3 linked regions of the Oryzias latipes genome follow. The protein of the gene in region 3 purifies or fractionates together with the protein of the main gene of each other region. This does not show direct contact. Links are inferred from orthologs where the notes say so. Each region holds a gene or a part of one and is shown on either strand. Other genes may lie near its edges.

Region 1 (3,753 bases), on a different chromosome or scaffold from region 3:
CAGTTTTTTGCGGCGAAAGATCGCCAATTCACATCCCAGGAACACATTACCTACTGTGAAGCATGGGGGTGGAAACATCATGAATTGGGCCTGTGTTTCTGCTCACTGGACATTACAACTGATCCTTGTTACGAAAAGGATGAATGGAGAGATTTTGGGCAAAAGAAAACTTCTTCTTTCAGTGGGAGTACTGAGGATGAAATGTGCCTGGATCTTCCAGCATGACAAAAATCTCAAACACATTGCCTAGAGCAGTGTTTTTCAACCAGTGTGCCGCGGCACACTAGTGTGCCGTGGGAGATGGTCCAGTGTGCCGTGGGAAATTGCCCTCATTAACTGATCTAAAAACATTTCCCATCTCCAGGAAATCAGCTCTGTGTTCATCCAAACAGGCCCTGATAAAACACTGAGTAGTTAGGAATATAAAAGATCACAAAATTATTTTTTCTTTGTGTTTATTTGATTCTATTAAAGACATTTTGATAAGAATGACGGTACCGCGATTTGGCTGCAGCTTTAGCTGTTTTAGGAAAAGTCCCGCCCCTTTAACTGTCTCCGCCAATCATTCTTGAAGGTTTAATCACATGTCATCAGTCTGACCAATCAGAAGTGGTTAAAGTCTTCACTTCCTTGTCCCGATTTAGCTCATAAAGTCTCTCGGTTCTAACAAAAATACCAGCCAAAGGTCGTCTTTAGCGGTGTAGCTTTCCACAGAATCCGGTGTCAGACCGTGGAACAAGTGAACAAAACATTGAAGCTTCTGCCCTTTTGCGGCAGTTTTCACACTACATCTCCCACGATGCACTGGGTTAAAGGGACAGCGTCTTAGCGTACAATGAGTCGTCCTTGTTAAATGTCTTGAAACCACAACAAACACACATGAAACAGTTTTTGAATTTTCTAACTTAACTTTTATTTCATCTTTTAGAAAAAACAGCTGCAACTTCCTGTTTTTTCTGCCCCAATTATCACAAAAATGCACGTGAGATTGCGGGGGGGGGGGGCTGTCGATCAATACAGACTGAGTTTTTTTTTGGATGCTGGTGTGCCGCTGTGTCTTTGTCAAGGTTAAAGTGTGCCGTGGCTCAAAAAATGTTGAAAAACACTGGCCTAGGCAACACAAAAGTGGCAAAATATGAACCATTTTAAGGCTCTGGAGTGGTCTAGCTAGACTGTGGACCTCAATCCAATAGAGAATCTGTGGAGGGAGATGAAAGTCTGTGATGCTCAGTAACGTCAAAGCTCTTGAGGAGATCTACATGGAGAAATGGACCAAAAGAGAAGACCCAATGAAAATGTCTGACCTCTATCAAAAGAATTGAGATGAACTTTTGATATTGACCAAATACTTATTTTCTACTTCACTTTACAAATGAAGTCTTTAATTTGTAACATTCTATCTCTCAATACTGAGGTGTATCCATAATATGACTTAGGAGTGAATGAATAATGGACACATAATAAGCACTTTAAGCGTCTGGAAAAGCGCAGAAAGATCCAATCCACTATTATTATTATTAATATTGTTATTATTATTATATAAACTTAAAGATTCAATAAAATACTTTTTTTTTAAACAAAAGTAAATTAGGTTCAACAGATCTCAAGACTTTAACAAGGATTTACCAACGTCAGAAAGGACATCCTGCTGTCATAGATGGATTACCATGACAACATGATCGTTTTTTAATTTTTTTGTTTTCATATTTGGAGACACAAACGGTTCATTTTGAGCATACTAACCTGCCATAACAGGGTAATTAAAGTGTTCTGCTGCTGGATCCAGGTTGACCACCTGAACTGAGCGGTTCAAAGCCTCTGCATGCTGGGTCATGGTGGAGCAGTACGTACTCTGAAATATTAATAATAATATTTTAAAAAGATACAATTAATGGCAAAACACAATAACAAAATAAAAACACGCTGGGTGACTGACACCACCTCATGTACTGTTAGCAACAACAGACAAGAGGCTGTAGACCATCCAGTGGCATTTTTGAAAACATACCTTTCCGCTACCAGCCGGGCCCATCACCAACTGGGCATAGCGAGGCATTTTCTCTGAAAAATGCGGTGTGATAAAGATCTTAAGTATCTTTAACCACAGACGCTAGCTTGTAATGCCATACGCATCGGTGTGATGACGCTACTTCTTCTTCTCCGGTAGATGATTTACGGTCAGGCTCATTACTGCCACCTACTGATCAAAAGAGGAAATGGAAGTCAGGGTGACAGTGGTCTGAAAAAGAGCCACAATGGAATGAACTGGTGATGAATTATTACACCTTTCGCACGGTGGATGTGAAAACAAAAATGCAATCCCATCTTTGCATTTTCGCTTTAATTATGCCACAGAATAAGCGGTGTTGAAGAAGAAAAAGAAAAGCAGATTGGCTCATTCGTTTGTAATTTTATTTTTTAATTCACTTGATGCAGTTACATTTTCAAAATGAAAAAGCATTTCTGTTAATAAACTTTGATGATCAAAGAAGATATTTCTAATTACATTATGCTACACATTTAGTAAAAAATGTCGAATACCATTTTCTTTCTCATTTTAATTAAGTGACAGAATGAGCTGTGTTGAAGAAGAAGAAAAAGAAAAAGTGGTTTGGTCGGATTGTTTTTTTTTTTATTATAAATTATTACAAATGCAGCTTCATTTTAAAAATTGAAAAAGCATTTCTGGTATTGACTTTCATTTTAAAATATACTACAGAAATCTTCCATACGAATGTACTGATGATGAGCATTGAACCAATATAGTGAGGAAAATACTGTGCAACAATTGTTTTCTTTTTGTGTGTCAATTACCATTGAGTCGCAAATTCTGTGGCAGTGTCAGTTGTGGCATTTTTTTAAGTTTCCCCAGGAAATGAAAAATTTTGCTCTTTAACTTTAAAATTGCTTTATTAAAACCATATGTATTTATTTGAACAAGTCGTTTAAACTGCCTATGATATGACCACGATAACCATGAAACTTAAAGCAAAGATCATGACAATAAGTTGTTCACAAACTGGCCGTTAGGGAGCGGTAGAGCCCCAGGGATCTTTGCTGTCAACAAACGAAACCACCAAAATTGAGTAAGAAGTAGAAAGTGACTGCATCAACATGCGATGATCAGGTGAAATTTGGAAACGTATGCAAGCCTTCCTGCTCACCAAGTTTGTTGATTGCGTCCTTCATCAGGCGCTTAAATTAATAGTATGTTTCGAGGAAGTGAATGGAGTTAACAGGCCAAGTTTGTGTACAGACATTACCGCGTGACGGTGGACTTCTTAGCAGGTACTACTACTACTACTAACTATGGCAAGTCTTTGTTTTTCTATTTTTTAAAACAAATGTTTTCTTTTTTTGTTGTATTTTTTTTTGCTGTCTGAAACACGTTCATGTTAATTTTCGTCAGTGCTTTCGATTTACGTGATATGAAATAGTTTCACTTCAGGAACTACCTTAAGGTTTGTTGTTAGCATAAGGCTCTGTATTTGTTTACGAGCGATAATAATCCTCTCTTTTTTTAAATCCTAGTTATAAATGACTATAATAATCGTTTGTGTAGCGTTAAAAAGTAATGAGGTCTGAAAACCTCCGTTAAGATAAATGAACCTATAAGTAAACATTAATTGTTTACAAATGACGTTTGCTTTCAAGAATTCTCGATAAGCTGCTCAGGAATGAGGTAACAAAACCCCAAAAGAGTCCAGCTTTCAACAATTATCCACTCTCTTTGTTCTGTTAAATTGTTCACAT
Region 2 (3,753 bases), on a different chromosome or scaffold from region 3:
GCCCCTCCAGTCAGTGCATCAACTGGAAGTGAGGAAAGGTCAAACGCAGAAGGCCAGACAGCTCAGCCGCTGTCTGACACATTTCAGCTCGCTGTGTTTGCATTACAGCACTTAGCTGTGTAATAGCAGGGATGGCGGGGGTCAGGAGAGGGGGGGGCGGGGGGGGGGCATTTCTGCTTCACTAAACAGTCTAATAATGTTCAAATCAGAGAGGGTTTTTTTATGTGGAGGTAAAGGCTGTAGCGTCCGGACAACACGCCAAACGACCATAGCGGTCTATAACCTGGCCACAAAAGTGTGGTGGTGGGGGGGGGGGGGGGGGGGGGCTAAGCCTGCAGCCGTCACTGACGTAAAGAACGAGTCCAAACGCTTTTACACAAAGACGTACTTCATCCTGAGCCCAGAAACGTCTGTAAAGTAAAGCTCAGGCTGTCGGAATGTGACGCACTGCCGCCCCCCGCTGGAGACGCCGCCGCTCTGCAGCCACAGGCCGCCGCTCTGCAGCCACAGGCCGCCGCTCTGCAGCCACACGCCGCCGTTCAGAAACTCACGCTTCATCCTGTGATCCACCACCGCTTGGGCTTGTTTGGCCGAACACTTGGCGAACCAGTTGTCGCCCAGCAACACGGTGACCTCGTTGGTGCGCACCAGCTTGCCGGGCGTGAAGGCCAGCGGGCCGAAGGGCACCTGCTCACAGCACAAGGAGGCCCGGACGGGCCACAGAACAGAACCGGGTTAGTCAGAGCAGCTGACAGGAAGTGGGCGCGAACATGGAGCAAACGGGAGACACAGAACTTCCAGTAAAGTTTTGGTTTTTGGGTCACTCTGTAAACTTGTCAAGTGAAACGGCGAGCGCTCACCATGATGTCATAGGAGAGCCGGTCTGGGAGGGTTTTGAGTCGATCGCTGAGCGCGTCGTAATCACCCGACACCTTCATCCTGCAGGTCGGGTCACAGAAATATTCAGAATTTAACCCAATTGATGCGATTTGGGTATAAAATGATGAGTAAAGTTAAAGGATGTTATTGCTCAGATGGCCACAAGGGGGCAATGACAATCATCTATAAGGAAAACTACTTTAAACCAAAACATCTTAACTTTTATTAACTTGCATTAGAGATTAAAAAAAACTTTTACGCCTTCATGAAGACTGTAAACAAAACCAAAATAAATGACTGCTGAAAATCTTTAAGGAAAAAAGGACATTTAAATGCATTTAAACTACATTTTTACAAGAGTATAACTCACAAAATAACCTGAAAGTTTATAGTTTATATAGTAAAAAAAACAGAGCAGAAAAAATAAACGTTTCCCTAAACAAATAAACGCCAATTATTACCTAATTTCTTAAGATTATTCGCCTGGTGCGAGTAAACGATGTCAACCTCATCAGATAGTGGAGTTTAAATTGGCTGATCTGGTTTGTTTTTTGCATCTTTCTGAATTATTTTGTTCTCATACATCCTAGAAAATGAAAGAGAAAGCAAAGAAAAAGGGGAGAATTCTGCAAAAATATGGAAGTTGCTAACGGACCACAAAAGGAAATGTTGCATCAGGGCCGACTGTGGGCGAGGGACGGTTTAGGAGCTAAACTAGTCTTCTGTGGGGGCGTGTCTCCATGGTAAAGCAGGGTGGCGGAAGTATCATGCTGTGGCGATAGACTGCTAAATCCTAGAAAAACTTTTGTCTTTGCCATATGAGGAAAATAATATGGGAAGCTTTAACCGTCAAGTTCTAAAATTGAAAATGCGATCATCTAAATCCATGACTGCAGCTTAAAAAAAAGGGAGGGGGGTTATTCTCCTGCAAACTTTGAGCGTCTTTGTTGCATTCATATCCAAGTCGTACACATTCACACTCAAAGCAGAGAGGAAACCGTAGAAGAGGAGAAACTTTCAGGACTGTGCAGCTTACCAATGCTGAATCCGTGAGTCACAGTCTTTCACCACCTGATGCAGGAAAAAAATGCTTTCATGAACAACATGACACGTTCAACACAACATACATGTTTTCATGCTATCAAACTGAGTTTTGTGTTCCTTATTAGCCAAACAGAGAGAAAGAGAGAGAGAGAGAAAAAACAGAAGTTAGCAGCAAAGGCAGCCTGTAAACATGGAGTCTGAAACCAAACAACCTGCAGGAGTAAAAGCTCAGGTAAAGGTTTGGGGGAGGGGCTTGTGGGTTGATCTAATTCACCTGAAGCAGGGCAAAGAAAAGAAACGAATCTTCTTTCTCCGTATTTGCGGCTCATGTCTGCAGAGGAGGATGTTTTCAGAAGGAAACAAGCCTCGTGGCCCGCAGCTGCAGATCTGCTCACGCGCTCCTCTTACCTTCTCGTGCTCCTCTCGGAGCCTGTGAACCCCGCCGAGGGGCTTCATGTTCGCTTTACCTCCTCCTCCAGCCATCCTTACTCCGCACGTGCACAGGTGCCTTGGGGCTCTGAGGAGCACCAAAGCTCAGGGTTTGTTGTGAGTCCTAAAGAAGTGTTTATGAACGCAGCAGCAGCAGCTCCTCCGGAGGCCCGTCCCGCGCGCCTTCATCAACGGGGCATCGACGGTAATCCTCACGTCCGAAGGTGATATCATCTCACACGCTCATTTCACGGCTTCTGCATGATCTCCAAAAAAATCCGCCGAGTTTGGATCCAGAGGTTAGCAGAGAACTCCTCGCTTCTTTCGCTGTGCAGATCGACCCACAGGGGAAGAAACGGGAGCTGTTCCGGTTTTTAGTTTCAAAATAAAACCCGTGAACGGAAGAGACTTGGAGTGGGCAACGTTTTTTTATGCAAGTTTCTCCCAAAACACCAAACCATAAATTACATGCCAATTTAATCTTCGTTATCACGTATCTTACATGTGTTTTTCTTAAAATGTTAACACGTTATCTAAATGTTCGCTCTTACTTTGAAAACCAAGCGTGTCATTTCTGTTTGACGTCTAGAAAAGTCTACCAGAGTGCACTCTGGGTAAATGTTTAGTATTGTAAATATTTTACGAAACATAAAAAATAAACCGAATCTTAACTTAGAGCTGTACAAGCATTAAAACGTATAAAAACTAACAAACAGAAACACACGTTAAAGAAAAAAAATATTACTTCTAGCTTTAATTAAACTGTCAGTTCAGAAAAAAAAACTTTAGTCTGCATGCGTTGCAATTGGATGCACTATAAATAGTTGAAAGAAGATGCAATAAAGGATGTTCTGTTGGATTTGAACAGCGAATTATTGCTTTTAGTTAAAATATCCATTTTCTTGATGTCGGCATTTAATATAACGTCATTACAGCAAAAATCACAGTTTTATGTTCACTTTTGATCAAACTTTACAGCTGCAGCCCGGAATACTGACTTACAGGCCTTCTTCAACTTTTTCTAATTTTAGTTAAACACGAAATGTGACAACTTTCTGCATCTGTGGTGTTCAAATAGCACAACACACCTGTTTCTCAAATTATCATTTATGATGACTGGATTGCAGTTATACATTCACAGTGTTCACAGATCCAATTACCTTAAAAATTAACTATCATTTGCTTACTTTAGAACCATGTGGAAAAACCTTTTACTAATGTTACGATTAGTTTAATTTACCAGAAAAAGAGGACGAAAAACAGTTTAAACATTTAAAATGAGCCGTAACTCCATTGTTGTTTTTCTTATAATTCAAGTTTTTATTTATTCTTTTTTTGACAACCGAACAAAAATAATGATAATGGATCAATAAAACAAAGCAATAATAATAATCATAATCA
Region 3 (3,753 bases):
CAAATTTTAACAGAAACATTTCATTAAAATCAAGATAATTGAAATGGGTTTGGTGCAAGTTACACATTTTCAACAAAACATCTGAAAGGGCAGAAAAAATGCTTATTCATTATGTTTGTGGCTCTCAAAACAGAAAAAGAATAATAATTTTGAATTCAATTTTTCCTTTTTATGTGTATATTTATGTGACTAACACATTCAACTGACTTCCATTTAACAGTAAAAAAAATAAATAAAAAAATAAAAATAAAAAGCATTGACCATGAGGAAAGTAAAAGGTTTTAAGCAGAATATAAAAACAGGCACAATAATGAAGGAAATGCTTACCTGGAAAAGATAGAGCTTATCTGCGAGGCTTTTGGCGAGGTACACGTCAATCTACAGAAACACACAAATGAAAATCAGACTTTTCCACTCTGCACAAATGACTCTGAGCTTCAAGGTTTTCAACGTAATATTATATGAGTCTTAACTGCATTTCTATTCATGTAGTTATCTAAATAAAATGTCTTAAAACATAATAAATAAGAAAATTGTTAAACTAAACATTATTTGTTTAGCACTTTACATACATAACGTTGCTTCCTAAAGTGCATGAAACATAAGTACACAAAAAGTCAATTAAAAAATAGTTTTTTTGAAAACATATTAATAAACAATACCAAAAAGGTTTTTCTGCCTATGAATACATCTGCCTCTTAAACACAACAACTTCTCTTAAACAATGGCACAAAAGGCTTCCTTGGGCATTTTGTACAAACCACCTGCTAATCTACACACTAAAACTCCCACACCAAGTGTAAACTGAAGGAGACATTTCCAGTTGAAAACCCCAAAGCAGCGGCACTCCTTTTTGTACATATGGCTCAATATGCAATCCTGCAGATCAGGTTATAGGAAAAATGCTGCAAAACTCAGAGGCTCTTCTTTTTTGGGGGGGTTTCCCAAAGAAACTGATGACCCACACTCTGATGAAAATTGTTTTTTTTTTTTATGATGATGGAGGACATGTATGTGAAAATTAACCACTCTAATTAAAATGCGTTTGGAAAAACCAAACCACTTGCCTAATACTGTTAATGTTGTTTAATGTAAATATGTGACCGATTTCAGAGGCTGTCAGTAGTTTCCATTCTCTTTAGAGAAGGTCACAGTGTAAACACAGATGAATTGTTAGACAACAGCATGTTGGATTGTTTTTCAATCGACCGCAGACCACAGAAAAACGTCTTCAAATTAGCTTAAAACAAACACTAATACATGCTAGTTTAATGGGAACTACATTTACCCATAAACATGGTCATTTCCTTATTTTTGAGATCAATAAAGTTTAATTCATTCATTCAAATACATATTTCTCATGGCTCAAAGTTGCTGCATAGCAGTGATCAGAAGAGGATTGAAACTTTATTTAAATTCCAGACGTAAACATACCTCCTCTATAATTGGATCATCTTCATCTCCACTGGCCATATCTATAGGATCAGGGGAGCAGCAGTGATATATCAGAGGACTTCAACCTGGACAAAATAAATGCAAAGCAAGAATCCGTCATTGATTAACACTGCTTTTAATATGCTACAGCAGGTAATCCAAAAGAACAGAAAGGTTTAACAGAAGTCCTAGTAATCCAGATGTACATTATATTTGTAAAAAAAAAAAAAAGTGTTTCATTGGTAGTTAAACGTATAACAAGTTACATTTCTGTATCTATATGCGATCTAAACTAATCTGTGATGATGCAGCATGTCAGATGATGCTTTCACGGACCCATCACGGCGAAACTGATGTAATAGTACGCAACCATCCAAAAAATTGAAGTTTTTCACTTCCCTAAATACAAACGACGTCCAGCATCCTTGTCAATCTGTGATTTATGTTGGTTACACAATTTTCTGCAGGCCCACAGTTCAGAAAAGTCAGATAGTTCTTGCTTCGTTAGCTTCATTAGCCTAGCAAGCATCAGCTCTTTAAATTACTAGCCACAGGCCCCCACAACAGAGACACTCAAAATAACATTTCTTTACAAATACGCGCTTAAGTAGACAGAGACGAACGACACTTTTAACTGTGGAGTTTTCTGAAAATTCCAAAACTGAAGGTAGGCTGTAGCTAAGCTAACCAGAGTAATGTAGCTTAGCGTGCTAACACACACATCAGAGATTTATGATAAACAAGACAAAACATCAGATTTAGCACTTTGGACATGTGGCATCCCCATAGAAACAGCGTGAGGCCTCACCTGCTCACCCCCTGCAGTTTAAATATATAACACGTTCAAGAACAGTCCATGAGTGAACTACTAGACTTGAAGCAAACTACCGGGCTTGAGGTACCATGATGTTGACGCTGTTTCAACAGACACGTGGGGAGTTGGACGTGCTCGTGCAAATAATGCTATTCGGACCAAACTGCGGAACTGAGCACTGTCACGTGTCTTTATAACCTATTTACTTTAACTTACCTTTTATTCACTAATTCGTTCTGCATGTGTTTTCTTTAACTGTTAGATCAAGCGTTGAGGAAAAACAACGACGTACCAAAAAGAATTCTTGGCAGCGGTGGGATTCGAACCCACGCCCCCGAAGAGACTGGAGCCTTAATCCAGCGCCTTAGACCGCTCGGCCACGCTACCGTGATGCATTGCGAAGGAAAATGTGTCATCATAGTCCATAGGCAGCTGAACGCTGCCTATTCATGTTCAATTATAAATGCAACCACAAGGCTGCACGACGCATTACCTGTCCCATGTCCGGCTAAAGGACATGGGACATATATATATACGTGCCGTATATGTATATATGAATTGTGTATCACGAAACAACAAGAACCGAGACATTCGGAAAAGTTTTTTTTTTATTTGGAAATAGGTAAGTACCAATGAAGAGAAACCTTTTATACCTGGGTTACACTAAGACTGGTATAATTTACTTAAAGAATAAAGAATCAATAAATACTTCCTACATTTAACACAATTGAGTGTCAATCAGTTGTGTTAAATTTAAAACAACTCATTGTCACTCAACGTCACCCTAGTGGTATCCAGTCGAGATGCAACAATTCACTTTCTCCACGATTTTGTTCAGTTCAATGGTGAAACACACGGTTCAATTTTAAACAGGGAATTGTGAGATGGTTTGTAAATACAAAGGGTTGTGTCATGAAGGGCACCCAGTAAAACCAAAGTCAATACAGTCGTGCAAACTACAACAATAAATTTTATACTAATCGTGGCAAAGGTGTAACAACAACCACCAATGGTACAGTCATCCACAGGGTGCCAATGGAAATTGGACATGTATGAGAGGTGTGAGGCAGTGGTGAGATGGTCTTCCTTGTTTGTGTGGTGATGAACAGACTGACAGATGAAGTTAGACAGAAATCTCTGTGGACCATGATGTCTGCAAATGACATGCATTGAAAGCAGAAAGGAAGTGGAAGAACAACTAGAGAGGTGGGGGTTTGACGTGGAAAGGAGAGGACTGAAGGTCCGCTGCAGAAGATGGGGAGGATTTCCAGTCTAGAACAACAGATTGGTTGTAGAGGCATATGCAGACAGGTTGTAATGGGTGGAGGAAGGTTTAGGTATGATGTGAGACAAAAGAAAAATGTTAGCAAGAATGAAAGGAAAGGTGTAGAAGATGGTGAGAGAGCAGCCATGTTGTTGGTTTAAAGCAGAGGTCTGCAACCATCAACACTTAAAAAGCCATTTGACCTTTTATGTGTTGGAGTAGTAGGAGCCACAAAGTCTTT

The links.
Region 1: the proteins of polr3e (region 3) and gpn3 purify together in Homo sapiens (affinity purification with mass spectrometry; 3 studies listed by BioGRID and IntAct, counting the BioPlex papers as one, with this or other methods). This does not show direct contact. The link is inferred for Oryzias latipes from reciprocal best matches to the Homo sapiens genes POLR3E and GPN3.
Region 2: the proteins of polr3e (region 3) and uri1 purify together in Homo sapiens (affinity purification with mass spectrometry; 4 studies listed by BioGRID and IntAct, with this or other methods). This does not show direct contact. The link is inferred for Oryzias latipes from reciprocal best matches to the Homo sapiens genes POLR3E and URI1.

The regions. Positions count from the first base shown.
Region 1 is NC_019870.2:16,801,806-16,805,558, forward strand, and holds the start of gpn3 (GPN-loop GTPase 3), read right to left. Parts: upstream 2,172-3,753; 5' UTR 2,057-2,171; coding exon 2,009-2,056; intron 1,853-2,008; coding exon 1,744-1,852; intron 1-1,743. UniProt on the Homo sapiens protein: Small GTPase required for proper localization of RNA polymerase II (RNAPII). May act at an RNAP assembly step prior to nuclear import.
Region 2 is NC_019864.2:30,477,014-30,480,766, reverse strand, and holds the start of uri1 (unconventional prefoldin RPB5 interactor 1), read right to left. Parts: upstream 2,725-3,753; 5' UTR 2,407-2,724; coding exon 2,332-2,406; intron 1,951-2,331; coding exon 1,916-1,950; intron 940-1,915; coding exon 861-939; intron 688-860; coding exon 552-687; intron 1-551. UniProt on the Homo sapiens protein: Involved in gene transcription regulation. Acts as a transcriptional repressor in concert with the corepressor UXT to regulate androgen receptor (AR) transcription.
Region 3 is NC_019877.2:13,143,169-13,146,921, forward strand, and holds the start of polr3e (DNA-directed RNA polymerase III subunit RPC5), read right to left. Parts: upstream 2,609-3,753; 5' UTR 2,541-2,608; exon of another isoform or gene 2,465-2,540; intron 2,409-2,464; exon of another isoform or gene 2,243-2,408; intron 1,521-2,242; 5' UTR 1,474-1,520; coding exon 1,435-1,473; intron 379-1,434; coding exon 328-378; intron 1-327. UniProt on the Homo sapiens protein: DNA-dependent RNA polymerase catalyzes the transcription of DNA into RNA using the four ribonucleoside triphosphates as substrates.